Linked DNA regions of Coturnix japonica. The protein of the gene in region 4 interacts with the protein of the main gene of each other region in a biochemical or structural test. Links are inferred from orthologs where the notes say so. Each region holds a gene or a part of one and is shown on either strand. Other genes may lie near its edges.

Region 1 (4,094 bases), on a different chromosome or scaffold from region 4:
TAATCTTAACTATAAATTCAATCATTATTCCTAAAGAATTATAGCAAACCTTTCCCTGTATAAGATTATAGATAATATTGATCTTTGTTTTGATAATAAATCAGGAGTTTAATTCCATAGAAGCAGATGGTACATCTACAAAGAAAGGGCCCTTCCAAAATAAAACAGCAGGACTGAGAGGATGCGATTTACTATCAGCATATGGCCAATCTGAATGACTTAAATAAGAACGATGAAAACTGACACCATAAAGGAGCTGAATGAGAGAGAAACACGGTTCTATTCAATCAATTTTTTATTGAAAAGTCACACTCCGAGGGTTATGTGGCAAAGGAAAAGCTGTTAAGAACACAGAGTAGGGAGGTACGTGTACATTTTCCACAATACTTGATTTGTTGTGAAGGATTCTCTTTTATGAAGAAAGCTCAGCTCACAGTTATGCCCTGGTTCTGCAAAGACTCCTGTCTCCCTTTTGTCTGAATAAGGTACTGTTAACCAGAGCAAATTAGGGCCTGCACAGCCTTCCCCTCAGCACACACTTGTCAAAGCACTTAAAGACAGACATCACTCCAGCACTTCAGTCACAGGACAATGCTCTGACAGCAAATCCCACTCCTATTAGCATATGTCCATATTGCATATTTAGGACCGAACAGGTGGTCATTTACAATCTGTCACCCCATTTCCTAAAGATACTTCCAAAAAGGACTCTCTCTCTCTGACTAACATAACTGGATCTAATGGAAAAAGCAGTCTGATCTATTTTCAGAGAGAAAACCAGAAGTACAGAATTGTGTGCTCCAGTGATTTGACAACCCTGAAGAAGTAATTTCACATTCGTGTGCCTCTATTTCCCTCCTGATCCTTTGTCAGAACTGCCTGATCATATTTCCAGCTCATTAGTGACGCCAGTCAAACACTGTTCAAACACTGCCTTAAGTTAGCAAACTTCTACAGAAAGTCAAGAAATCAGGAGATTACAGGGAAGACTGTCAAAGCGAGAGACATGAATTTAAAAGGGATTCATATCGGTACATTTTTATGTCCTCCTGATGACTTTAATGATTCCTGAAATCATGGAAATACACGAATGGTGCAGAAGTCTCTTAAGAGTGGTACTGGGAAAGAATGTAACAAAGAACCCAAACTCAGATGGGCTTTCAGGTCGTCCTTCTGATCCACGCCTTGAAACTATCTACCAACCCTCATGGTTTCACACAATCAGACTCCTTAAGGTTGGAAAAGCCCGCTATGAACATCTAGCCCAACTGTTTCAGTACCTTGAAACCTTACATTATCTACTATCCTCAGGAAACTTCAGGAACAACACATTTCTAGACACTACTTGGTGCAACCAATAGAGCTTCTGAAGCAACTCCATTTTTTAAATAGCCAGGCACCCTCCCAGAGAACTGTTTTCTGTACTGAAACGGGGCTTGAGGTGCTACACACAAACCTGCAGACTTCCTATGCTTCAGCCCAAAGGTTGTGCATGGAGTGCTCATTAATTACACAAACTACACACAGCATTATCTGATCCTACATTTTTCACACAATATAAATTGAGAACTGCTCTGCTCAGAGTGCGAAATTCTGTTACCAGCACCACAGGACATCCATTCACCTTAAAACAGAGATAACAGAATGAAATCCAACAGGAGGTTTGCAGGATTTTCACCTCTGCCTCCTGCCTCCATACAGACAAACCAACATCAGCCTCGCTTTAAACTGGCTGAGCAGCAAAGTCAGGCGCTATTCTGTAAGCACAGCCCGCCCACTATTTTAAAGTAGAAGAAGAATTCTACTCATTTCCAACCCGCGTTCCAGAGTGAGCAAACCTCACCCTCCCTACTCCACGAAGGCAAACACGTGCGTGCAACCTTCGTGATATTCCTGTATGAAATAACAAAAAGGCTGGGGTGTTCTTTGTGCTGTTCTTGTTGCTTTTTTTTAAGGTATAAACAACGGAATGCAAAGGGATGACACGAGGAGAGCAGCGCTTTGTACAGCGGGGAGGTCTCCGCCTGTTACAAAGTTAGCGCCGCAGTCCCAGTCTGTCCGGGAGCCGCCCGGGCCTCCCCCCGCCGCACGGACACGCGGCGCTGCGCGGAGCCGCGCTCTTCCTGCGCTCCGGGAGCGGAACCGAGGGGGGTGGGGGGCCGCGGTACTTACTGGTTGGTGGGGGGCGCGTTCAGCGGGATGGCCACCTCCTCCTCCTCGTACTCCGGCCCGTCCAGCGAGTCGCCCTCGTCCACGGCCGCCAGCCCTCCGGCCGGGGGTAGGGGCGGCGGCGGCGGCGGCAGCGGGGGGAAGGCGGCGGAGCCCGGCTCGCTGGGCGGTGGCGGGGCTCCCGTGGAGCCGAGCGCCAGCAGCCCGAGCGCCGAGCACAGAGCCGGGCCGGCGCCCGGGCTGTCCCCGCCGGAGCCGGAGCTGGAGCCGGGCGCGAAGGGGCCCTGCGGCCCCGGTGCTTTGCCTCGGCAGTGCCCCGGCTCGGCGGCGGCCGCCGTCCCGGCCGAGGTAACCGAACCGCCGTCCTCAGCTCCGGCCTCGGCCGCCATCATGTTGAGCCTCGCCCCCCCTCCCGTCCGCCGCTCGCCCTCCCGCCCGCAGCCGCCGCCGCCGCCGCACGCCGGGGAGGTGGCGACAAAGGGGCCCCGGCCCACCCCGCCCCGGCGGGGAGCGGAGCCGGGACGAGGGCAAAACTGTCCCGGCGGAGACGGGCCGCGAACAATACCCGGCTGGGCGGGGGCTGCGCGCTCACGGCGGCTCCGCAGGGCCCCGGCGCGGCTGCCTCGGCCCCGCCGGCCGCCAGGGGAGCGGCTCGGCCGCCCCGCGCTGTGCCCGCCCCCGTGCGCCCGCCAGCCGGGAGGGGGGAAGGACGGAGGCGGTGGGACGGGCCGCGCATGTGCGCCGCTCCCCAGCCTCGTCCCTATGAGCGCGTGCGTGGAGCTGGGCGGGGCAGGAGGGGGAGCGGCCGCACCGCGTGGGGGAGGAAAGTGCGGGGTAGGAGCGGCCCGAGCCGCCATGGTGTGCGGCCAAGGGGCGGCCATGGTGCGCCCTGAGGCTGAGCTGCCTTTGGGAGGGAAAATAGAAGAAAGTATGGGGAGTAAAAGCCAGGAGAGGCGGCAGGTGGCGCGGGGGCACGGCGGGAAGGGACGGCGCGATCGGGGCGTGCTGAGCCCGTGCTTTGTGTGTCCCCGTTATAGCTGCACCGCCGTGTGCTGCGGGAGGAGAACAGCGCATCGCCTGCAGCCGCTGTGTGACCGCACTGCCGCCCGTACTCCATTGCCGGTTACTCCGTTACCGTGCTGATACTTCTCTCATTATCTTCTTTTTTTCTTCTTCTTCTTTTTTTCCCTCCCCCCCCATAATAAAAGAGCTGACAAATAGCAGCACGTTGACACTTGCACGCCTCTCCAAAGTTCTCAGGAGGCATCTAAACATTCAGGTTTTCAAAGCCTTGTGTTACCAAAAGAATTAAGTGAATTTCTCCCCAGGCCACTAAAACAAACTCCTACTCGCGCTTCCACCGCCCTGCAGACAAACCTCCTTTTATCTGCCGAAACGAACCTTCCTATCTTGCCTTCTGAAGGCAGGATCCCATTCCAGGTCCTGCAGCGCTGCGAGTACCCGTGGGACTCTGCTGGGCTCGTGCCCGGTGTCAGAGCAGACGCTGTCTGCGTCCCTGGGCTCACAGAATGGCAGCGCGTTCATGCCCTGCTGTGCTGGTAAAGAAATTACAGTCTCAACAGCCATCTCTTACGGGCTTGGTTTCCACGTTGCCATATTTCAATCGGATATGTAATTCCACGTTGTCTTGCAGCCCACTGGCTCCGTGGGCTTCTGTTTAATGCTGTTTGCTTTCTCCTACGGGTTTTTAAATAAAAGGATTTCAGCACAGTCTTGTTGTTAAAATGATATTCCTAAACATAGAGCTGCAGTGTAAATATTTATGATTGCTTCGACGAAACACGCTTTTTTAACTGACTTAAAGGGGCAACAGCATGCGCATATAAGCATGGAGACCAGGGCATCTGTGCTCTGAATTTCCTGCAGCACTCCTCCAATAGATTTAATCTGGGTAGAGCAGTTCT
Region 2 (3,960 bases), on a different chromosome or scaffold from region 4:
GAGAGGAGGTTTCCAGGATCTGTGCCACCACTGGGTGCAATGGGGCTGCTGTCAGCCATGTCTGCTGCTGGGGGGTTGGTGCTGCTAAGCCGTCCCTTCTCCCGCATGGTCCTCAAATTGGGTCAGTCCTCCCACAGAACTTTGGTTATAGTGAAGGCTGCCCGAGCTGCAGGGCTGTTCCATGCGCTCAGCGTCATGGTGCTGAAGTTCCTCCTCTCCCCCCCCCCCCAATAACCCTTAATTAAGACATTACAAACGGGTGATGCTGTTTGTCCTGCAAGGTTCTGTTTAATGGATGAGTTAAAGCTTTAGACCCATCTCTGTGGGGTAAGGGCCGCTGCCGTGGGGCTCCGAGGGGCCCAGGCTCTGTGCTACTTAGAGCCCCACGTGGATGCGCTGTGGGTCCTGGAGCTGCAGGGCTGCGCCTCTACGTGGGCCCAGCGTGTGTGTGTGGAGGGGCTGTGGGCAGGTCTGTGTGTGCCCTCAGCTGCTCTTTTCCTCCTTCCCCCCAAGTCCCATCTCTGGGTCCGCACTGTCCGTCAGCAGCAGGTAGGAGCTGATGGCTTCCCGCAGGCCCTGGCTGATGGGGGAGGAATCCTCCTCCTCCTCCTCCTCCCCTGGCGGTGCCGCGGCCTCTGAGAGCAGGACGGAGCTGTGGGGCAGACGGGGGCGGTCAGAGCAGAGAGCGGCTCCCGGCCCCAGCGGGACCACAGCCCCACAGCTGCCCACACCTGTCGATTTTGTCCCAGCTGAGCATCGGCTTCTTCACCACTGCGGGCCGGGCCGGGGCTGGCGCTGCCTTCGCCGCCTGCATCGCGCAGGGCGCCCTGAGGGTGCAGCACAAACCCTCCCCGCTCTCTGCGTGGGGTCGGCGGCGTCAGCGCGGGGCTGCACCGACCCGCGGCCGCCCCGAGTGCGGCTCCTTACCGCTGTAGTGCTCCACGAGGTCGTGCAGGCTGGGGAAGGTGAGGCGGGGTGAGATGTAGAGCCAGCCGTTCTCCAGGCGGTGGATGCGGTAATGAGTGACTGCATCCCACGAGGGGAGCTCAGTGCGCCGCACCGACAGCGAGAAACCGCCTGCGGGGATGTGGGATGGGCTGAGCTGCCTGCAGCCCCGCTCAGCGTCCGGCCCCAGCAGCCTCGCTTTTATCGGGAGGAGCCCGGTGCCATCCACACAGCGCACGCTGCCGGCTGCCCGCCGCAGGGACACGGGGCTGCCAGGACGGGCTCTGCCCGGGGTTCCCCTCCCCGAGCTGCCACAGCGCCCGGACGGCAGCGGTGGGAGCGCAGGGCGGCAGAGCTGCCAGAAGAAGGGCCCAGCATGGGGGGGTGCCCAGCAGGGTCCCCTCGTGGTTGCTGTGGGGCTGCCACGAGCTGGGCCCCTTTCAGCTCTGAGGCTGAGCCTCTGCGCTTAACCAGCAGCTGCAGGAAGCCGGTTTGTGGGGGCCCTTCGGTGGAGGAAGAGGCGCAGCACCGAGCAGAGCAGCAGCAGCAGGAAGCGGCCGCGCGGGGCGGCCCGGTGCCGCCAGGTGCGGTGTCAGAGCAGCCCCGCGCTGTGCCGGCTCTGGGCACGTGCTGCGGAGGGGCTGGGAAGCTCCTCACACTGAGGAGGGCGCGCGGGGCCGGGCCCGACCGTAGGTTCCGTGGCGCTCCCAGGGGCTCAGCTCCGTCCGGTGTCACACGGCGCTGCTGATGCTCCTGCCCGTGCCCGACCCCGCTCACCCCGTGGCTGCCCGTCCCAACCCCCCGGCGCTGCGCTCACCTCTCCGGGTCTGACTCTCTCGGATCAGGAAGGCTCCGCTGTGGTTTCCCGGCTGCAGCAGCAGCTCCTCCGCTTTCTCCCGGCTGACGCCCTCGTACAACCACCTGCACGGCAGCGGGCGGGGTCGGCGCTGAGAGCTGCGGCGCCTCCCGGGGACGGAGACGGGGACAGGTGGGCGGCCCCGCAGAAACGCCCGCGGCCGATGCGGCTCCAGGCCGCAGGTGTGGGGCGGTGCGACTGGGACGCCGCTGTCACGTCCCTGAGCTCAGCTCCAGTGCCAGCAACGGGCCTGGACGAGCAGCGGCTGCGGTTTGTCTTTGGGACGGCCCACGAGTTCGGGGTGTCCTGGCTGCGCCCCCCGGCTCTGCCCCCACGTCACCCCGGGCTGACACCCACCTGTGCCGCACTTTGGCCACGCAGCTGCTGGGTACGAGGCACTCCTTGCCCGACACCTGCGATGCCACCAGCCACCACTCCCCATCCCTGCGGGGAATTGGGACGCGATGTCCTGCTGCTGTTGGGGGGGGATCCCCGCGGATGGGCGCCAGCAGTGCCCGCTCGGTGCCGGACTTACTCAGAGAGGACGCGGAGCTGCTCGCCCATCCTCAGCGCAGCGCCCGCGCCGGAGGGGAAATCGCAGAGAGCCAGCGCCTGGAATCCGCCCGGGGCCGCCTGTGTGGGCAGCGGGGACGGCGCGGGGATGGCGGCCAACGGTGCGGCGCTGAGCGGCTTCTCCCGGCTGGGCAGGATCCCCATTCCTCGCCGCACTGAGCCGGCAGCGCGCAGCCCCCGCCCGCGGGCCCTACCGGCTGGAAGGGAAGGACGGGGCTCGGCCCGGCCCGACTGCACCCGTGGCAGAGAGCAGAGGGGCCGGGACCCGCAGCCGCGCGCAGCACACGGTGCCCACACCGGGCTCAGGGCTGCGGGCTCCCATCCCAGAGCAGAGTCAGCGTCCCATCCCCGGCACGGCGGCTCCGAGCCGGGCGGGACACGCGGAACTCCGGGACGGGGACGATCTCCCCCGGGAGCCCTTCGAGGAAACGGCCTCGGCCCCGGAACGGCCCCCGGGGAGCTGCGGCCGCGGCGGGCGGGGAGCCCCGGAGACGGACGGCCTCAGGGCCCCGCCTGGAGCCGCGCTCAGCGCCGCCACCCAACCCCGTGCCGGGCCGTGCCGGGGCCGTCGGGCCGCCCGGTGCTCGGAGCCGCCAGCGCCGAGCGGAACAGCGCGGCCCGCTTCCCTTCCGCGCGCAGCGCCGCACGTGGGCTCCTCGCCCGTGGGGAGGCGCAGCCGAAGCCGCGCGTGACCCGACCCCCGAGCTCCCCGCTGCCACCCGGCCGGGGTCACCCTCCCACCTGCCGCTCACCGCCATCGCGCCGGGCTCCTCAGGGCCGGGCGGGCTCCGAGCATCCCGGCGTTTGGGCGCGGCGCGCAGCGGGGCGAAGGGACGAGGCCTCGCTCCGCCGGGACACCTGCGGCTGCGGCTGCGGCTGCGACGGACGAGGCTGAGCGGGATTCTCCTTCTCGCTCCGGCGCGGCCGTCGGCAAAGCGCGGACGGGTCCCGCCGCTCCCGGCGCCGCTCTCTGCCCCCGGCCGCGCTCACATCCTGCCGCAGGTCGTGCTGCTCTGACGGCTTCTGGTCAATCGCAAACCGCCGTGTCGGTGTGAAGTGCGCACGGAAGAACAGAGAGCACGAAAGCGGCCGCCAAACGGGGCCGGACTGAGCGCTGAGCGCTGAGCTGATGCGGCGCGTGGCCCCTCCGGTGCTGCGACCGAAGAACGGAGAGGAACCCGCGGGTCGGTCCGGGACACGCCGTGACCCGGGATCTCTTTGCAGCCTCAGGTGCGGCAGAGCAGAAGCTCCGCACACACCGCTATCGGTCGCTCCAGGAGCTGCGGTAGCAGCTGTGCCGGGGGGAAGGAGCTGCTGTGGTCACCCCGACTTCCTCCTCGAAGCCGTGCCCGGTATCGCTGCTGTGTCTTGAAAGGCCCCGCGGACGGCCGCCCTTCTCCACCCCCAGAACGAAAGGGCCGGAGCGCGGCCCGCGGTGCGCGCACAACGAGCAGCTCAGCGGCTGCGCCTCCCGGCTGCCCCGGCCCGGAGCGGTGCCCGGCAGCGCAGGGAAGGGGCGGCTCGGACCGGGATCCACCGCTCGGCCCCGCGGAGCCCGGCAACGAAGCTCCCCCTTCCTCACCTCC
Region 3 (4,191 bases), on a different chromosome or scaffold from region 4:
CAGTTGCTTAAAACTGCAGCAGCTTAACTTTGAACACAGTCTCTAACATTGCTGGGAAGCAGAACTGCGTTAGCTAGTGTCTTCAGTGTGATCAAGCTTGGAACAAACAATCCTTTCCTAGAAGTCAGCTGGGAAATATTTGTTTTTTATATATTGCTTTTCTAAGCCTGGGAAAAAAAAAAAAAAAAAAAAAAAAAAAAAAAAAAAGAAAGAAAAAGAACAGCGAAAAAAACTCCAGAAAGGTAATTGTTTATGAACGATTCAAGTGAGGTGCAAAAGGAAATAGAAGACATTTGAAAACTTATCTGTTTCTGACACTGCATGTGGTCTGATTAGATACATCATTTCTCATTAGATTTGTTTGATTCTGAAATAAATATGAAATTGATGTTCTAGTAAGATTGTAAAGCTGACAACACAGAGCCAAAGCTGGAAGTCAATGCATAGGTTAGACCACGTCTGTTCTACACCAACCTCCTTTTTTGACATATTTGGCCAACACTGCAAATGGTGAAAGCTTTGACACACTGAACAATTTGATCTTTGCTAGCAACACAAGTAGATATCTACATGTAGGGCACTACCTCCAGATGCCCTAGTGATGCTCATTGCACAGCTACAGGAAACCTGTACTTCCTGCCTGAGGCTTTTATGGCTGCACACACCCTCCCGATGACTGAGGCTCTTCCTTTGTCTTTACCGTCTTCTACTCAAAAGCTTTAAATCAAAATAAAAAAATTAAATTAAACAGACACCTCCCTGTATTTTAATACACACACAAAAAGCAAGAAAGAAATTGAAAATGGATTTTCAGCATTTCTTCTTGAATCTCTTTTCTGCTATACCCTAAAACGTACAAACAGGAATCAGTGGAAGAATTCTGATTTCCCTGTTTAGAATTAAGGACCTTCTCTTAAACAAAACACTGGATTCAAAGATTTTTAGTCTCATAGATATTAATTAGGCCTTGATCCCCTGACCACACTCAAGAGTTCATTATTTAAAAACCCAGCAGTGATGGTATCAGTGAAAGCAGAAAATTCTCCAGCACCCACAGTGTCTCTGCACCTTTCAGCCCACATTCCCTTGAGCTCTGTCAAAACATAAACTACAAAAATACGTTTGGCTTTGATCCTTAGGAAGTAAGGATCTCTAACAAATCAGTTGGGTGGAGAACTTGAAATGTAGGTTCAACTCAAGATGAGAATTTAGGCTGCTGCATCCAGGATTTGCCAACACCTCCTCCTTTTGCTGTGTAGAGCATTTTCTGTTTCCAATTTCCAACAAATGCTTGCAATCTCAGAGGTCAGCCAATTCCATATTCAATTTAACATGGGAACAACAACAACAAAAAAAGCATAGCCCATTTAATTGCTAGTATTTTTTCTTCCTGGAAAGAGGTTTTTTAAAAGTCACATTTTCCTGATGACAAGTTAACAAGTGTAAAACCCAACACCAGCACTAATTATGATCACTTACAGGACTATGATGCCCAAAAGCAAATTTTTTTAGCGTGCCTGGTTTTGAGAAGTGAGAAGATATAGTGGCAAATGAGTCCTGCAGAAGAAGCATAAATCCTAGGAATGAGATGTTGAAGCTCACTTGACAAATACTCACAAAGAAAACAAACAAACAAAAACCAGAAAAGACACGGTAAAAAGATACATGTCCTTTGGGATGGTCCATTGCTGCAGGTAGTTTTGCTAAAAGAGCCCTAGAACATTCAGCAGAACACCTTGGGTTGATAAAATTGTGTGACAGTGTGTGAATCAGCCACAAATACATGCAATCTTCCCCCTATCTTCAGTTATACCTCACTCAATTTTGTAGTCTTTGGGAAATAGTATCAAAGGATTAGATGAAAGCAACGTGTCAGAGATGAGTTCTTATTAATCAGCATTTTATTATTTTGTCTATTGATCTGGTACACTTTGATCACTTTTCTGATTCACTGCACCTCAAAGCACTACTGATTTTGAAAGTGCCATAGCCCATTTCTAGGATGTGTATTTGTACTGAATGTTCTGCAGAGTTCCCATGCTTGCAGTAGTGATACATTAACTGTATACAAAGCTATACTGAGAAAAACTCAAATTCAGCTTCACCCAACAAAACCAAGTCTTTACCACAATGCTCAATATACGTATGCCTCCTGATCAACTACACTGACAGCTAATCTAGTAGAAAATTCCAGTACAGTTTGCTGCTAAAAAATACTTCAAAAGATAAGCTTTCAGCTTTTCAAATGTACAAACTTCAGCTGTGTTCTTCTGTGTACTAATTCTGCACCAGAGGAAAGCAGGCTCAAGTTCTACCAAACTTTTAATTCATATCTAATTTCTATGTGCCACTAAGGACAACATATGGGAATAACTCCACGTTTCCATCCATCTCCATCAGAAAAGATAGATGTCTTACTGAATCCATCGTATAATGGATTCAAATTTATGTAGTAATTTCGAAAATCAAGAAAAGGAGTCCAAATACAGACCACTCAATCTGCAACCAAGCCACATGAGAGATAACTATTGGGTATAATTATGGCAATAATTAAGTAGCTCGTTTGCTGTGTACACACAACTGCTGCACAAAACAATACTTCAAGAGAAAAATATGTGGGCCAGTTTACTTACAGGTTGAAAGAATCATATCTGGTTCTCCTCTTATATTCACAAGAAAATGCAAACCTTCTTTCATCAGTTGTGCCTGTAAATAGCCCAGCAGCACTCTTATCTCTGCTGTGAATCAAGGTAAGACATCAGTAGAGCCTGACTCCACCTACTTTCCTGAAAAAAAAAAAAACCTTACTAGATGTTAATCTCATGCCTGCTTGCTGCTGCTGTTGTTGCTTTCTCAATAGAAAAAAAAAAAAAAAAAAAAAAAGGAAAAATCATGAGAAAAAGTCTTTCTGCTATCTAAAACCAAATATACACTCTACAAATAAAAAGAATACTGAACGGCTGTCACTAGGGCTAACTACTGCTGAAAGTGGTAAAAACACCCAGCAGCCTTATGCCACTGAATTTGGTCTCATTCTGATAAATTTTTGATCCTGACATTTGAAGAAAAATAATAATAATAATAATAATAATTTTGTTTTAATAAAAAGGAGAAGAAAGCATGAAGGTGATTAAGGACTGACTGAGCTCACGCAGAAGAAACGATGACGTGGTATTTTAACCTGCCTTTGATTGCATGAGAAGGTCACCAAGAGAGCTGCCTCAAAAGCTGTTCTGATTCTTTCAAAATTAGTAACACCTGAGGCTATATTATATTCAACTGAAAAATGCATTCATCTAAAAATGAGGTGGCCTCACAGATCCTGATAGGTGATGTAAGTATCAAAACCCAGTGGAAGGTATGTAGAAATTATCCTTGGGCAGCATGAAGGGGCAGGTGAAGTACAGCATTCCAAGCGTCATCCAAAGTGCACATCTCCACTGAGGAAATCTGCCAAATACCTGCACAGTTAGGGAAATCTTTACCATATAGATCAGCACGTAATTCTTGTAGAAAAAAGAAACATCCATAAGGTTTACTAGAAATTATTACTCTCCTGATAATCCAGTGCTTCATATATACTTTAAGTGAAATACTGCTTATTCCTTTAAAACTATGCACAGTGTCAGAGGTGTTGGCAATGCCATAAAACCCTTTCTGACACCCCATAAGTTCCTGATGCAATATCACAAGGAAAAGAAAGCGTTTCTTCATACAAGATACTTCATCCTCATTCAAAATACAAAGGCTTAGACAAAGCAGTGAGAAGAATCTAAGCCCCTCCAAGACAGAAATGATGAAACACAGGAATTATAGAATGTGTTAAGGTAACTATATTTAGCAAATACTCCTCAGATGCTTTGGTCCAAAGTTAGGTGAATTGAAACAGACTTCAGCAAGAGGAAGCAGAAGAAGCAGCAGAGGGGAAAAGGCATGCAGGTATTAAAAGAGTTCAACCATTTCTGCTCTGAACACAGACAAATCCAATTAAATATATATCCATGTTAAATATATACATTTAATAGAGAGCACGTGTACATGCAGGTATGTATATACATGACCAATCACAATGCCTTATATACATGAACAATGAGACTGGCTTACGACGCACTGACTTGACAGTAAATTAGTGGCAACTCTTTACACATTGTTCCAAATAATGTTAACGTTCAGTTTATTTATATACACATT
Region 4 (4,108 bases):
CACGGCGCTCACTTGGTTCTCAGCGATCAGCACGTAGCCCTGCACCTCCTTGATGTCCTGCAGGGGGGGGTGGGCACGGCGGTGAGACCCCCACGGTGCCCCCATGTCCCCCCCCATCCCTTCCCATCCACGTATCCCCGAATCCTCGCACCTGGAGGAAGGTGGTGTCGGCGCCGGGGGGCAGGTAGGTGAGCTCCAGGTTACCCTGCACCACTTGGCAGCCCTGGTACAGGTGCCGCAGGGTCTCGTAGTGGCTCTCGGGGCTGGAGGGCTGCAGCAGCTTCATGTCGGTACCGGTGCACACTGCGGGGATGGATCGGGATGTATTGGGGGGGGGTTGGGGGGTGGGAGGGGTCAGCCGAGGCCGGCCGGGCCATCGCCCCCGCGGGATCCGGCCGCAGGAAACGCTGCGGCTGCTGACGGTTATCGGCTCCCAAAAACTTCCGATGGGTTTCCGATGGGCTTCCTGAGCGGCCCCGGGTGTGATGTGGGGACGGGGGAAGCGGGACACACGGGGATACAGCGGGATACAAGGGGATACACGAGGATACATGGGGATACATGGGGATACATAGAGATACATGGAGATACATAGAGATACATGGAGATACATGGAGATACATGGAGATACATGGAGATACATGGAGATACATAGAGATACACGGGGATACAGGGGGATACACGGCGATACAAGGGGATACACGGGGATACACGGGGATACACGGGGATGCGGACCCCCAGCTCCCACCGCGGCACCGCTGCCCCCACGTCGGCAGCAGCCACGACCCCCATTGAGCGCCCACGTCCAGCACTGGGTGGGTCCCCACAGCCCGCACCGGGGGGCCCCGAATGGGGCGGGGGCCGCGGAGCAGGAATGCGGTGTATCCCGCAGTGCCCCCACGCCGCCGGGGGGTGGGGGGAGAACCGAGACAACACGCGATTGTTGAGCGGCCCCGAATGGCCGCGTCCCATGGCCGCCCCGCTCCGACCCCCCCTCATTCCTGTCCCCGTTCGTGGCGGTGGGGCCGGGAGGGGCGGGTCGTGCTGCGGTGAGTCACGGCGCTGGGGCGGCCCGGTCCGGCCGCAACGTCCCGCCTGGAACCGCCTTTTCAGGTCGGGCGTGTTTGGGGAGCGAGCGGGGTGACGCAGAACGGCCCAGCCCCGGCACCGCCCGCGGCCCCCGGCGCCCCACAACCACGCGGGACAGACCCCCCCCCACGGCCCCGATGTGGGCTGGGGTCCCACCGCGTCCCTCGAGACCCCCACGGTGCCCCCCGTGCTTCTCCTTGAGCGGGGTCACCGTGTTGTCCCCGTTGTCCCCTCTCTTGTTTGGTCGCCCCCAACACCGACCCCTCGGCTCCACCATCGCCACAACTTATGGGGACACAGCGGCGGGGGTTGGGGGCGCTCTGCCCTCGGTGCGGGGGGGGCTGTGCGGGGTCTGAGTGACGGCCCCCGGTGCCGGCAGCTGCCACGAGGCCGTGGGACGAACCGGGCTGTAGCCGCCCCCAACGACCCCAGCGGCCCCCGAACGTCCACAAGGGAAAACTGTGCCCCCGGAGCTGCCCGTGTTGGACGGGGAGGTGGGGACAGCCCGGTGCCCCCACCCCGCAGGGAACGGCCAAAGCTCAAGGTCTGCTCCACCTGCTGCGTGCGGGCACGGGATGGACACGGTGCTGCCAGGGCCCAGGGAAGGCGGGGGGGACGGATCCCGGTTCGGTCTCAGTTCCATCGCACCCCCGGGGTTGGGGCTGGGGTCAGCGGTGGGGACGGGCCAGCACTCGGAGCTCGGGTTCCAGGGCGATGGGAGCAGCAGGGACCCACCGAGACCCCATTTATTGCCCTGGGAGCCCCACAAACACCGGGGGGTGGCGGTGGGGCCGATGCCCGCCCCGTCCCCGTCCTCGCTCCGACCGAGGCCCCGCGGCGCTGGATCGTGCCCCGGCTGCTCCCGTCGGGCCGGGCAGGGCGCGGCACCTCGAGAATGTGGATGGGAGCGACCGGCGGGGACGCACCCCCCGCCCACCCGCACCGAGCGGCACCGCCGCCGCCCCGGGGCCCATCCGCGCCCCGAAACCGGCTCCATAAACCGGGGAATGGGGGGCAGGGGGGGCTGTCCCGGCGGTGGGGGCTCTCGTGGCACCTCTCGTGATTGCGGGACCCCGGTAAAGCGGGTCCAGCCCACGCAGCCGGTGGGGACGGAGCTTTTTTTAGGGTCTCCAAACCCTCGAGTGGAGGCACCGGGGGGCACCGGGGGGGGGGCACCGAGCGGAGCGGCCGCCCCCGGCCCCGCGTCTCCCGGCTCAGCCCAATCCCGCGTGGGAACGGCGAGAGGGAGGGGCTGCCCACGGCGGGGGGGGGGGGGGGGCAACCGGGCCGGGGGGTCTGTGGGGGAGGGGGGTCGCTTTGAACCGCAGATCCCCAGCACCCCCCGTTACCCCCGTTATCCCCGTTACCCCCAAACCTTCCACTCCCCGCCCCGGATCCCGGTTCTCCCCGCACAACTCCGTTCCGATCCCGCCGTTCACCCCCACCCCGCTGCCCGTCGGGGCGGACCCACCTTCGGTGGCGGCTGCGGGGCAGAACGAGGCGAGGAGCAGCGATAAGAGCACGGGGCACAACGGGCGGCCCCGGGGGTCGGTCATGGCGCTTCAGGACGGGCTGCGGCCCATGGCCCCGCACCGGACGCTCCGGGAAAGTTTGCGGTGCGGTTCCGCCGCGCTCCCGGGCTCCACCTCGCGGGGACGCGCCGCGCGCTCCCGCCCACAAAGCGCGTTCACGAGGGATGGAAGCGGCGGGTCCGTCCCGGTACAACCGGGTGTAACGGGGGAATCCCGGTTGATCCCGGTAACACCGGGTGTAACGGGGGGATCCCGGTGGCACCGAACTCGGACACTGGGGGGTCGCGATGTCCCGGGCAGCACCGGAACCGCCGGTACCGGGAGCAGCGGGGTAAAGGCAGCACCGAACCGGGTGTATCCGGTACCGGGGGTCGCACCGTAATGGACACGGGGCGGTTCCGGTGCTCCCGGTCACCCCGTCCCGGTGTCGGTCACTTCACGCTGTCATAGGGGTTGGGGACACTGGATATATAGGGATATATAGGGGATGTATAGGGATATATAGGGGTATATAGGGATATATAGGGGTATATGTAGGGGATATATAGGGATACATAGGGATATATAGGGGATATACAGGGGTATATAGGGGATATAGGGATATATAGGGATATATAGGGGATATATAGGGGTATATAGGGATATATAGGGATATATAGGGGATATACAAGGATATATAGGGAATATATAGGGATATACAGGGAATATATAGGGATATATAGGGGATATATAGGGTTATATAGGGTTATATAGGAATATATAGGGTTATATAGGAATATATAGGGATATATATGGATATATAGGGAATATATAGGGATATATAGGGGATATAGGGGATATATAGGGGATATATAGGGATATATAGGGGATATAGAGGGGATATATAGGAGATATATAGGGATATATATGGATATATAGGGATATATATGGATATATATGGGTATATAAGGGATATATAGGGATATATAGGGGTATATAGGGGATATATAGGGATATATGGGGTTATATAGGGGTATATAGGGATATATGGGGTTATATAGGGGTATATAGGGTTATATAGGGGTATATAGGGGATATATGGGGATATATACAACGGGCACGGCCGCCCAACCGGGCCTAGGCCTTGCCGAGTCCTCCGAAGCCCCCCAGCCGCACGGAGGGATATATCCCGTGAGCCTTTGCGGTGAGCGCCCAAGTGTGAATGTGGATTTCCCATGATGCTCCACTCCTGCAGGATCGCTGTTTTCACGTGGTGCCCGCAGGGGGCGCTATATCCCGTGATGCTTTGCGCCGCCTCCACTTCCGGGGCGGGCCGGAAGCCGCGCCGTGCGGCCATGGGGAGCGGCGGGGCGGCTCGGGCCGCTCTGTTCCTGTTACTGGGAGCGGCGGCGGCACCGGGCCCGGCCCGGGGCTCTCAGGGTGACCGGGAGCCGCTGTACCGAGAGTGCCTGGGCCGCTGCGAGCGGCGGAACTGCTCCGGGGCGGCG
Region 5 (3,500 bases), on a different chromosome or scaffold from region 4:
CTCAGGTCTGTCATTCAGGGTTACTGGATTCTTGACAGAAGTAGATGCTGAGGTTAAAGATGGAAATGCAACGAACTGGGAAGGATTATTTATCTTTCTCTAAGAACTTCTCCCCAGTCACCCAAAACCTTTTCACTTATTTTTAATGTATCACAACCTCTCATACCTTAAGCCACAGAGATCTTTATTCTACCCTTACATCTTCACAATAATTCAAATGAGAAAGTTACCCTTTACCTGGTGTTCCTAGTGTGCAGCTTGTGGCTAGTTTTGTTACTGGAAATGCAAAACAACAGCTGTTGATAATTAGAACTTTTTTAAACTTAGGTATCCAAGTCCACAAATGGGATCTGGATCAGCCCCTACTATGTCTGCTGCCGAAGAAAACGTGGAATACGTTCGGACACTCTATGACTTTCCTGGCAATGATGCTGAGGATCTCCCATTTAAAAAGGGTGAAATACTGGTAATTGTAGAGAAGCCAGAAGAACAGTGGTGGAGTGCCAGAAACAAGGATGGTCGGATTGGGATGATTCCTGTTCCTTATGTAGAAAAGCTAGTCAGATCTTCTGTCGGGAAACATGGGAACAGAAATTCCAACAGTTATGGTATTCCAGAACCTGCCCATGCTTATGCTCAGCCTCAGACCACAAGTCCCCTTCCCACAGTATCCAGTACACCCGGAGCAGTGATCAATCCTCTGCCATCCACGCAGAATGGACCAGTCTATGCCAAAGCTATCCAAAAGAGAGTACCCTGTGCTTATGACAAGACTGCACTGGCATTAGAGGTGAGTTTTCCCCTTTGTCTTACAGCTTTCCAATGATTTTGAAAAATAAACTAAATATTGTTAGCGACAGAGCTGGTGTGGATGACTTCATGTGGAGTCTGTTTATCTGTGTCAAAGGACTGGCAAGTTCCATTATGTTCTGAAGAAAGATGTAGAAAAATTGCTTCATCTGTACCACTTCCTTTGAGAAAAGTGACTAAGCTAATTCAGAACGTAGGCTTAATGCACTGTTGTCTTGCCTATGGAACAGTGAGATGTGCTACAAGAGCAGTAGAATACATACATCCTTCTGTGGAAATACAAGGGATGACTTTGCTTCTCCATTTAACCTTGGAGAAGGGATATTTAACTGATCATTCCAAGCTGAAAACTGAAACAGAAAGGTAAGGATTGCTGATAAACAGCTGATTTTTCTGATTCTCAGCTGTAACTTTTTGGGCATTTGTGTGCTGGAGGGGATGGACACGGTACTAAATTATAGGATTAAAGGCCACAGTGTAGCTTCTAAACCTGCACTGAGTTTAGTAAGTTCCTGTGCTTGCCAAAGTGCTTTGTATTTTCTTTTTAGGGACGTCTCAAAGCCTTTGACAGCTTTATTCTTTAAATGGTAAAGAATTCCTGTTAACAATTATAATTGGCATAAATGATGGAATGGAAGTTCTTAAAAGCATACCTAGCATTGAGACTTACTTCTACACTTAGTTATATAAGGAGCTTGTTAACTCATCCTTCAGAAGTGTCTCACCTGGAAACTGTGCTATTGCTTACTGTCCTCAGAAATGAAATTAGAATCTGGCAAAGTACCTCAAGAAACAAATGTGGGGAAACAAGCAAGGGAAGGAATGACATCTTAGCAAGCAGAACAGTGATTTAAATAATAGTTTTGAACTTTTCCTGTTGCCTTTTTCAGTTTATAAATGAAGCTGCTTCCAAAGCTGCTGCTTTTCACTAATATTCAAAAGGTTTTGTTTGTCACTTTTGGCTATTCATAAAAGTTTCTCCAAACTGCCCTCTTACACAATCTCTACAGGTGGTTACTGGCAGAGGGTTAAAAATTAAACGTATCACTGTTTTCCTTGAGTCTTACCAAAGCCGGCAGCCTGTCATTGGTGAACAGTGTGTGAAAATTAGCGCAGGAAGAAAAGTAAATTCTCTGCCAACTGCACTGTACAGAAGATTCCTGCCTAAACTATTCATGCTTCTGAAGAGAATAAGGCAAGCAGTTGATTTTATGTTAACAGTGTGTCATAAAACAACTTTAGGGAACTTACTTTGCTGCAGGATAGCAGAACTGCTTGGGAGGACGGCTCTCACTAATGAATTTACTCTTATTTTGCTATTTACTGACCTAGTTAATTCTATCCTGTAACTGCCCTGATATACTGGTAACATGCATTCTCTGGCCAACATGCAGGTTGAAACTGTCATTAGAGCTTTTCCATCCATGCGCAGGGAAAGTGAGCAACTTCATTTCAAAGCCATGCTTTTTGTCACATGTACTATTTCTAAAGAATGCTCCAGATTCTTGACATAATCTTCCTTGTGTTTGCTTAACACCTGTTGCTGGCCCAACCTTCTCTGGACTCCACAAGTTCCTTAATAATCCAAACTACTGGAGGTCACATTGTTGAAAATGACAGGGTTCACTTAGACTAGAAGTTCTGTAAGAACACAGACAGTTACCAACAGGAGGGAAAGAACAGCTTAGGGAAATATTTGAGGGAAGAAAGTTAGCGGTGTTCTTTGAAAATAATATATTGCAATATTCAGCAGTTCATATATTGCAGTAGTCACAGTCCAGCTTGTATGTATAAAAACACCTTGGTACAGTTGTACTGATTTTGTAGTCTCATCTAAACTGATACAGCAGTCTGAAAACAGAATATCTGCTTGCTGGCTTTAGCTTTCTGTGGTCAGCACACAGACAATGCTTGAAAGAAGCAGAAAACCATCTGGAGTAAATAAAGCAGTTGCATAGTAATCTGCTCAACTTCTTTTTAAGTGGAGGGATGTCATTTCCCAGGGCTCAGTTTGAAAATGGGACAAGCTCTGCTTCCAAGTCTGATTTTTCTGTTGTATGCAATTGTTTACAAAAGCTGTCAAAATGCAAGACAAGATAAAAGAGCCACAGCCTGCTACAGAGAAGAAACTTGTTTGGTAAGGAAGGTAATTTAAGTTTCTCCCATGGAAAGATACCATTTATAAAGTGAATATTCTACTGAAAATCCTTGTTAAGATGTTTGGTAGGATGTTTAACTTTGAAACAGTTTATAAAATAGGACAGTTTAATGGCAAGCAGGTTTAAGGGTAACTGCCGTGTCCTTTTTTTTTTCCCCATAAGGATACTCATTAGGAAGCATGGCATTTGTACTTATTACTAAACACTGTGCTCAGTTCAGTTACTTACACTGGCAGTGCAGATTTAACACTTTTAAATGAAATATTGAAGTTTGCATTTTCTCACTGTAACCTTCCTGACACGTGTTGTATTTCCAAAGGTACTGGATACACACATAAAAAACCCACACAATAAAAGCAACAGCAAAGATCTGCTTCTCTAGTTGTGTGCTTTCGCCAAGAGGCAATTTCCTTCCTTTTTGGCGCTGCAGAGGAAGGAATATGAAGGACAGGGATACAGTGTTCTGTATTTGTTGGAACTGGGACTCTCTATTACAGGGTTACGTGCTGCTCTTCTTCAACCTCGGTTTTC
Region 6 (3,500 bases), on a different chromosome or scaffold from region 4:
GTTCTTGTAGTTTAAGCAATTTTTCTCCCCCCCCCCCATCCCCCACACCTTTTTTTTTTAAGTACAGGATGGTATTTGTACTTGAAGCCGTTTGAAATTTTTTCTTAGACCAATACAGGTGTCCAATATACCTCTTCTGTCCCAAAGATTAGTAGCCAAAATTACAATATTAGGTCAATCTAGCATCCAAACTTATCAGTTTCTGTTATTTAGTTCAGATAATAAAACTGAAAGGATACAAAAATCAAAAGAGAGTTTTGCACACCCTTTAAATGGGCACATTACTCACTGTTTTTGGATGAAGGCGATTTCTGGGGAGAGGCAAAATATTTCTGGAAAAAAACAGAAAGTCAGTCAAGATAAGTAGGATTTTTACTTATTTTGTTTGAATGTTTGACTTAGATATCCATTGCAAGATCTAGAGAGTCCTGAAGAAAATGGTTTTAGTTACAAGTATACTCCACCACAGTGGTTGTGATGCTCTACCATATAGAGGAACCCATTTAGAAGAGCTTCTAGTTCTGAACTTTGGTTCCCCTGCAGCTGTGCACAGGGGACCTAAACACTGTAACAGTGTTGTGAATTCCACCTGCTCTTCCTGGGGCATATGACCTACTTGGTAGAGTGATGACCTAGGAATGAGACAATGTCTTGGTTTCCAAGCAGCTTCCTATATTTGTGGATACACAGGAATGAAAGAGACTGCATGCTTTTTTTTTTTTTTTTTTTTTTTTAAACATTAATTTTCCTCTAGGGACTTGGAATTTAATAACAGATTTACCAACTCTGTTTATACAAGCAATCCTACACCCCATCCACTACAAAAATGTCTTGTTTGCGAGGGCACAGAAGCCAATAATAGGACTTCAATGTAATTTGCAGAGATGTTTTACCACTGTATTAATTCTTGATTGATATTAATTCTTAATTGATTCAAGAAAATAGCGCCTATCTCGCAAACTGGCTTCAGTACAGGAGTTAAGGATGAACTTTTATTCTCAACGTACTCCAGCATCTCTAGCTATTTGCAAATCCTGACTCCTACGAATTGTCCAAATGCTACACAATAAGTAGAGATTAGAAAATTTTGTCTCCACTCTTATTTGTTATTAATATAAACTGCTGCCAACTTACCTGGAAGTGTCCAGCTTAGGTGACTCTCTAGTCATGCTGTGCATGTGCGAGTGCTCTGCATTCTGAGCACGTGTAGCAGGAAGTGGCTTAGTGAACCTTATAGTCAAATGTGAATTGAGGAAAGAAAATCACATTTAACAGTGATGAATAGAAAAGATGACCCACCCTACTCCTGCTCTGCCCCTTAAAAGTCCTAAAAATTACCCTTATGTAAGTAGTAGATCTTTTAGTACATTATGTTAGGGTAATTGAAATTAACATAGAAATGGATAACAATCTTTGCGTAGGTATTTTAAAGATAATTATTAAGCATATTACATCCAGACGAGAAAATACACTTTCCAACAAACTTTAAATAGTATACAAACACTCATAGCAAGAGATTACCTGGATACGGGTGGTGGTGAAAGTTCTTCCTTTTAAGAGAAAAGACACAGAATTTTTTGGTCATTTTGATTTCATAAAAACATTTCTGTGATCATATTTATATTATCATAGCAATATCTTATTTTTGTATTGCTTGTGGTAGAATTCTGCCTGGTGATGTGCTTGAGGATGGTAGGAAACCACCACCAATAGATTTGGAAGCCCTGAACACACTGGTGTGGTCATCTGTCATGTCAGAGCCAGCAAGCAAAGAGAAAATTACTGTGTCAGAACTGTCATTACTCCTTTGCCTGTGACTGTGCTTCTCTGGAGAGCATTCTCCTAAGCTCCTGCTTCCCAGACCCAACTGCTATCACATAGGACTAGAAATTTCAACCCCTTCCCAGTTATTCTATTTGGCAGATATCTTGAATTGCTTTGCCAACTTTTCTGTGAAGGAAGTGTCAAAGCACTAAGCGAAAACAGATTTGTTCCATTTTTCCCCTTTCAAAGACTGATTTTTATATGCATATACACTCTATAATCACTTATGTTACTCACAGACAGGGTACAAGAATCAAACTACAGGAAAGTCTTACCTCTTCTTCAGGAACCTCGTACACTTCTGTAGGACAGGGTAGAGAAAGCAAATCCTTTAGATAGCAAAAGTGCACTACGTGTTACCAGAAAAACTGAACAGAATTTGTATCAACTGTATTTTGCCTCTGGAAAAGTAACTCGGAAAGTTGTCCCTGCTCCTGGTTCTGCCTCCTAAATCCTCAAGCAGCCACAGCCCTGCTGCTTTTGAAACAACAGAGAACTCAAGGAAGTGTGATAAACAGTCGCTGTATGAAGGAGAGTTTTCTCCACCCTTACTAACTCCCCCCACCCCAGCCTCTCAAAAAGCAAGACAAATCCTGTGTCTTGCAAACCTGGGACTCTTTGGAAAGGTGCATTATGACATCTGTGGTAGCAGTCAGCCTTTCCCTGACTCTCAGGGAAGAAAAGATCAGGTGAACCATACACTCAGATAGATCCCTTTCTGTTTCATGTCCATCCCTGGGCACAGAAGTATTTTAATTCACAGATACTAAAAGACAAGAACACCATCGTCCTTACTCATGCCCACTTTATTCAATGGAAATTCAATTTTATGTCAGTTTTCATTGCTTTTATTACTCTGAAAAGTATCCACATTCCCACCAGGGGGAGATGTTTTATTTTTTTTTAGAAACATCTGTCTAGAGTTGGCTGTTGCTTAACACTGATTTATAGAAAGTCTAAGATAGAAAATAGCATTTAAAATATCCAAGAAGCATGTCACAAATCCTCAGGTCATTCGTAAGAAACTTTTATAGTTTATGCCTCGAATTCATTCTGTTTGATGCCAAGCAATTACTGACACATTCAAGGATACAAAACAACTTGGAGTTAGCACAGCTAAGGAAGATTAAGCAAATATGCACATACTTAGAAAAGCAAACATGATTCTCACATTTGCTTCTTTTTTTTTCCCCCTTTTTCCAAATAAATTGCTTTTTACAGAACTTAGGAACATTGTTATCCCAGGGCATGCAGCACATCAGCCTACATGGAATTTCTCACATATTTTAAAATCACATCAAGATTCAATATTGAATGTTGTTTCCTCTGGTGAAGTGAGATTAATAGCATTCCAAGTCCTATAATTGTTTTTGCCGTATTGATCAATTTGTGTTCCTCTATAGACAAGATGACTAAGAATAAATTAGGTTGGGGCAAATGACTTGTTCTAGTTTTATTTGTGCTTAAAGCAGACTTACCAACCAACCTAGGCAAAACAAATGCTATAACACTGAAAAACTGAAAGGGAAACATTTTATGTATTACATGGTTTCTGTTGGGAATACATCAATCATAACTTAATATTGCTCAGTCTTAAGTTATTTTGTTTCAGCATCAACACAAACTCCACATACCTTGCATGTCAGAGGCAAGAGAGGGCTTTGCAGGAGTAGGGA
Region 7 (3,500 bases), on a different chromosome or scaffold from region 4:
AGGATTGTTCTTGATGATCAGTACACCAGCTCCACGGGGACCAAGTTTCCAGTTAAATGGTCTGCCCCAGAGGTTTTCTCCTACAGTAACTACAGCACCAAATCAGACGTTTGGTCATTCGGTAAGAAACTCTCATCAGAATGGAAAAAATGAAACAAAAAAAAAGAAGAAATATCAGCTAAATATCAGCTCAGAAGGACCTGGGGGCTTAGTGCCAAAGTAAAATGTTCTAAACACTACATCTTCAGTGTTCCAGTGGTGTTTTGCTTGAATAGTAGCTTGGAAAATCAAGCCTAAATCATCCAGGTGAAAGAAAGAAAGGAACAGTAAACCACCTACACACTCTGAAGCACTCCAGATATTGCCAATATAATAATGTATTGTACCCATACAATGCTATTTTATGATGCTACTGAATGACTAACCAAGAACATGTAGGAGAGTCAGAAGGTTTCTAAGAAAAAGTACATACAGACATTTAAGCATTTCATCTCTCTGACCAGCAGTCCAAAGCACTGAAGCTTCATTCAAAACCTCTGCCTCTGAATTTGTTTTTGCTGACTCTGTTTGCTTTTTGTTGATCTGAAAAATATTATTTCAGTGCTGACATTTTCTCACCTAATTTCTCACTCTCCAGTGCATTGTTTTATGATTTGCATCTGTTCTTCGATCTCCTTTCTGGATCCTCATAGATAAGAAAGCTGCTGTATGTTTTTTTCCCCACAGCCATTGCCACTGGAGATAACAAAGACTATTCCCTGGCCGGTTGATCTGGCACACTGATGTGCCTGGCCTACATCCAGCTAACATGCAAATAGTGGCAGTGCAGAATGAATCGGTACAGTGTGTAGAGCACAGCACACAGTCAATGGGGTGCCACTCAGCTCCGTGCCTCGCAGTAAATAATGCAGGGTTATACCCTTGGCTAGTCTGTGCTTGAAAGTTCTGTGCTTCCCTCTGCCCTTCCTAGGAGCTGTGTGTGGTTGATGCTGGGTGAAGTGATTCATCTGTCTCTCTTCTTTCTTTACACTGTGAACAGTTTAACACCAGAAGACCAAAGAAAGCAAGACTAGTAATAACACCAGAACTTGCATTCACTTTATCTGCAGTCCTTTTCTGATCTGATGGCCAACTCTGACCAATGCCCACTGCCATTTTATCTTGAATATCATCTACTACACTGGATAAGCACAAGTTTCTGTACTGCTCTGAACAGTAATCATAGGAAATCATGAGTGTTTAGGAAAAGCAAAAATACGTGCTGCAATCCTTTGAAATTCCACCATGATTGCACCGTACAGCTGTGTTAGGCCATGATTTTTCTGATGCATGCTTCAAATCCGAGCAAGAATGCTTTTTCAAGTAACAGACACCAATGCTGCGCTTCAAAGATGAGTGAGAAAGGGGCTGTGGGCCTGCTGAGAATGTGATTTGTGTCTTGTGTAATTGTTCCCATTTGTTTGCTTTAGGAGTGCTGATGTGGGAGGTCTTCAGTGAAGGCAAAATGCCTTATGAGAATCGCACCAATGGAGAAGTGGTAGAAGAAATCAATGCAGGGTTTCGGCTCTACAAGCCCAAGTTGGCCTCCAAGGCTATTTATGAGGTGATGAGCCACTGCTGGAGCATGGTTAGTATTTCACTGGGAAAGCACTGCTTCCCAACAAGAGCTGTCTTCCCTTCAGCATTTAGGAGAGTTTACACCTCACATGCTAATACAAGATACAGTGCTGGAGATGAAGCACTCTGAGGCTATCACTGTGTTAGCAAGATGAGTTAAACATTCAGGTCTTTACCTTTTATTTAAGCTGCTGTCTCTATAGAATGCATTGACATCACCGAGAAGTCTATACAGTGCACATAACTCAAGTTAGTTCAGCATTTTGCTTCCTAAGAAAGCTACGAATCAGTTGTGCTCAGTTTTAACGTGGATGGTAAAAATGACAGCCTGCCCCTTACAAAGTACTCAGTGTCCTCTGGGGAAAATTCACATTACTAGAGAAGGAACACGGTGCAGAAGGAACGTGATTCTTCTGTTGGCATTCTCTCTATAAGAATGCATTTTGTTTCTGTTAAAACTCACCTTTCTCCACAAGGTTTTCCTTTCTAACCTCACCATACCTCCCACACTGACATTAATATTCTCTCTCTCTCTCTCCTTCACTCAGAGGAAAGAAGACCGTCCGTCCTTTTCTCTTCTGCTTTATCAGCTGAGTGAAATCTCTGAGTTTGATCTGTAATTATGGCACTGGCTGCTACATGAAGCTAAGAGAGTCCTGAGCGGGCAGATGGCTGGATTTTCCCCACACAAAGCAATAACATGAATCCTTCCACCACAGAAACTTACTGCGTGCCTGAGGAGAAGCAAAGGGCAGAGGCCTGTACTTCCAGAAAGACGAGATATTCCCAGGTCTTCCAGAGCACAAGCAGACATGGGGTTTGGCTTGGCCAAGACTGTTGTTTGCATCTTCCAAGCAGAACCAGCAAATGAGCAGAGATTCCTGCAATATGTAACACAGCGAGTGTGCTTCTCGTGAAGATTCAGCCTCAAAACTACGAGATTTGGCATTGATGTTCCAGTTCTGCAAACTCCCAAAGGTCTCCCCTGGGGAAAAACCTTTTCTTTGACTATGAAGGAACACTTAGACATTTCCACGGCTCTCTAATTCAGAGTGGGCTGGACCTGAAAGCTCTGAACAAAAATAAGCCTGGGATACAGAGGAACAGGCTGGATTTAGTGACTGCATTTCTGATGCTGACATTTTAAGGTGGTTTTGTTCTCCTTTTACACAACTTCCTATGAAAGTGTGGCTTAACAGGCACAGGATTCTGATACCCCAAAAGAGGTGTCTGCAGTTCGTGAGTAGGAAACAGGAAAAGTAATGTGTTAAAGAGTCTTGAAATCCTCTCAAATTTCTACAGTGAGGGGGAAAATGGGACTCAGATGCACATCTAGGTGTTCTGGGGGGGGGAACTCAATCTGAAAGTTTCTGTTGATTTTTTTCTTCAATCTTTCTAAATCAGAAGATAAATAAATAACCTCCACCAGCTTCCTCTACATGAGCATGGAGGACACGGCAGGGCAGAGCGCTGTGTGCCTCCAGTCCAGGAGCAGACAGGATCCTGTGCCAGGGAGAGACAGAGGAACCTATTCCCTAACAAGTGTGCCATGAGGAGGAAACAGAGTGTGTGATCAGTGCACCAGTGCTAATGAGAAGTTTTACTTCAAACAGAAACTGAATCATCACAAGCAAAGACTCTTCCATCTCTTCTGAGAACAAACTGGTCAATCTTCTAGGGAATGATTAAAGAAAGAAAGTCTTATGCAAACAGACTGCCTCGGTGCTGCAGGAGCTCCACAGCATGTGGTGAGAGCACAAGAAGGTGTGAGCAATATCCATCTGTTGGTACTTCAGTTAATATCCTCCGCTGCAGGACAGACACTGATTTGACATAACTGACCTCCAAACCAGAAATGTGGGTGTTCGTGTCCTGCAGCATCT

Evidence for each region.
Region 1: the proteins of ERBB2 (region 4) and RASA1 form a complex in vitro, tested with the Homo sapiens proteins (2 studies listed by BioGRID and IntAct, with this or other methods). The link is inferred for Coturnix japonica from reciprocal best matches to the Homo sapiens genes ERBB2 and RASA1.
Region 2: the proteins of ERBB2 (region 4) and SLA2 form a complex in vitro, tested with the Homo sapiens proteins (2 studies listed by BioGRID and IntAct, with this or other methods). The link is inferred for Coturnix japonica from reciprocal best matches to the Homo sapiens genes ERBB2 and SLA2.
Region 3: the proteins of ERBB2 (region 4) and TXK form a complex in vitro, tested with the Homo sapiens proteins (2 studies listed by BioGRID and IntAct, with this or other methods). The link is inferred for Coturnix japonica from reciprocal best matches to the Homo sapiens genes ERBB2 and TXK.
Region 5: the proteins of ERBB2 (region 4) and CRKL form a complex in vitro, tested with the Homo sapiens proteins (2 studies listed by BioGRID and IntAct, with this or other methods). The link is inferred for Coturnix japonica from reciprocal best matches to the Homo sapiens genes ERBB2 and CRKL.
Region 6: the proteins of ERBB2 (region 4) and BLNK form a complex in vitro, tested with the Homo sapiens proteins (2 studies listed by BioGRID and IntAct, with this or other methods). The link is inferred for Coturnix japonica from reciprocal best matches to the Homo sapiens genes ERBB2 and BLNK.
Region 7: the proteins of ERBB2 (region 4) and ITK form a complex in vitro, tested with the Homo sapiens proteins (2 studies listed by BioGRID and IntAct, with this or other methods). The link is inferred for Coturnix japonica from reciprocal best matches to the Homo sapiens genes ERBB2 and ITK.

What each region holds. Positions count from the first base shown.
Region 1 is NC_029547.1:54,365,730-54,369,823, forward strand, and holds the start of RASA1 (ras GTPase-activating protein 1), read right to left. Parts: upstream 2,801-4,094; 5' UTR 2,562-2,800; coding exon 2,173-2,561; intron 1-2,172. UniProt on the Homo sapiens protein: Inhibitory regulator of the Ras-cyclic AMP pathway. Stimulates the GTPase of normal but not oncogenic Ras p21; this stimulation may be further increased in the presence of NCK1.
Region 2 is NC_029535.1:772,419-776,378, reverse strand, and holds SLA2 (src-like-adapter 2), read right to left. Parts: upstream 2,801-3,960; 5' UTR 2,519-2,800; coding exon 2,337-2,518; intron 2,246-2,336; coding exon 2,159-2,245; intron 1,867-2,158; coding exon 1,763-1,866; intron 1,078-1,762; coding exon 928-1,077; intron 859-927; coding exon 732-858; intron 653-731; coding exon 484-652; 3' UTR 264-483; downstream 1-263. UniProt on the Homo sapiens protein: Adapter protein, which negatively regulates T-cell receptor (TCR) signaling. Inhibits T-cell antigen-receptor induced activation of nuclear factor of activated T-cells.
Region 3 is NC_029519.1:60,026,559-60,030,749, reverse strand, and holds the start of TXK (tyrosine-protein kinase TXK), read right to left. Parts: upstream 2,801-4,191; 5' UTR 2,698-2,800; coding exon 2,634-2,697; intron 1-2,633. UniProt on the Homo sapiens protein: Non-receptor tyrosine kinase that plays a redundant role with ITK in regulation of the adaptive immune response. Regulates the development, function and differentiation of conventional T-cells and nonconventional NKT-cells.
Region 4 is NC_029542.1:3,920,760-3,924,867, reverse strand, and holds the start of ERBB2 (receptor tyrosine-protein kinase erbB-2), read right to left. Parts: upstream 2,801-4,108; 5' UTR 2,646-2,800; coding exon 2,561-2,645; intron 304-2,560; coding exon 152-303; intron 58-151; coding exon 1-57. Other genes in the region: PGAP3 (post-GPI attachment to proteins factor 3), read left to right, coding at 3,836-4,108. UniProt on the Homo sapiens protein: Protein tyrosine kinase that is part of several cell surface receptor complexes, but that apparently needs a coreceptor for ligand binding. Essential component of a neuregulin-receptor complex, although neuregulins do not interact with it alone.
Region 5 is NC_029530.1:7,298,309-7,301,808, reverse strand, and holds part of CRKL (crk-like protein), read left to right. Parts: intron 1-327; coding exon 328-790; intron 791-3,500. UniProt on the Homo sapiens protein: May mediate the transduction of intracellular signals.
Region 6 is NC_029521.1:18,334,680-18,338,179, forward strand, and holds part of BLNK (B-cell linker protein), read right to left. Parts: coding exon 3,459-3,500; intron 2,126-3,458; coding exon 2,100-2,125; intron 1,551-2,099; coding exon 1,522-1,550; intron 1,231-1,521; coding exon 1,135-1,230; intron 333-1,134; coding exon 290-332; intron 1-289. UniProt on the Homo sapiens protein: Functions as a central linker protein, downstream of the B-cell receptor (BCR), bridging the SYK kinase to a multitude of signaling pathways and regulating biological outcomes of B-cell function and development.
Region 7 is NC_029528.1:13,125,875-13,129,374, reverse strand, and holds part of ITK (tyrosine-protein kinase ITK/TSK), read left to right. Parts: intron 1-2; coding exon 3-121; intron 122-1,469; coding exon 1,470-1,627; intron 1,628-2,165; coding exon 2,166-2,237; 3' UTR 2,238-3,500. UniProt on the Homo sapiens protein: Tyrosine kinase that plays an essential role in regulation of the adaptive immune response. Regulates the development, function and differentiation of conventional T-cells and nonconventional NKT-cells.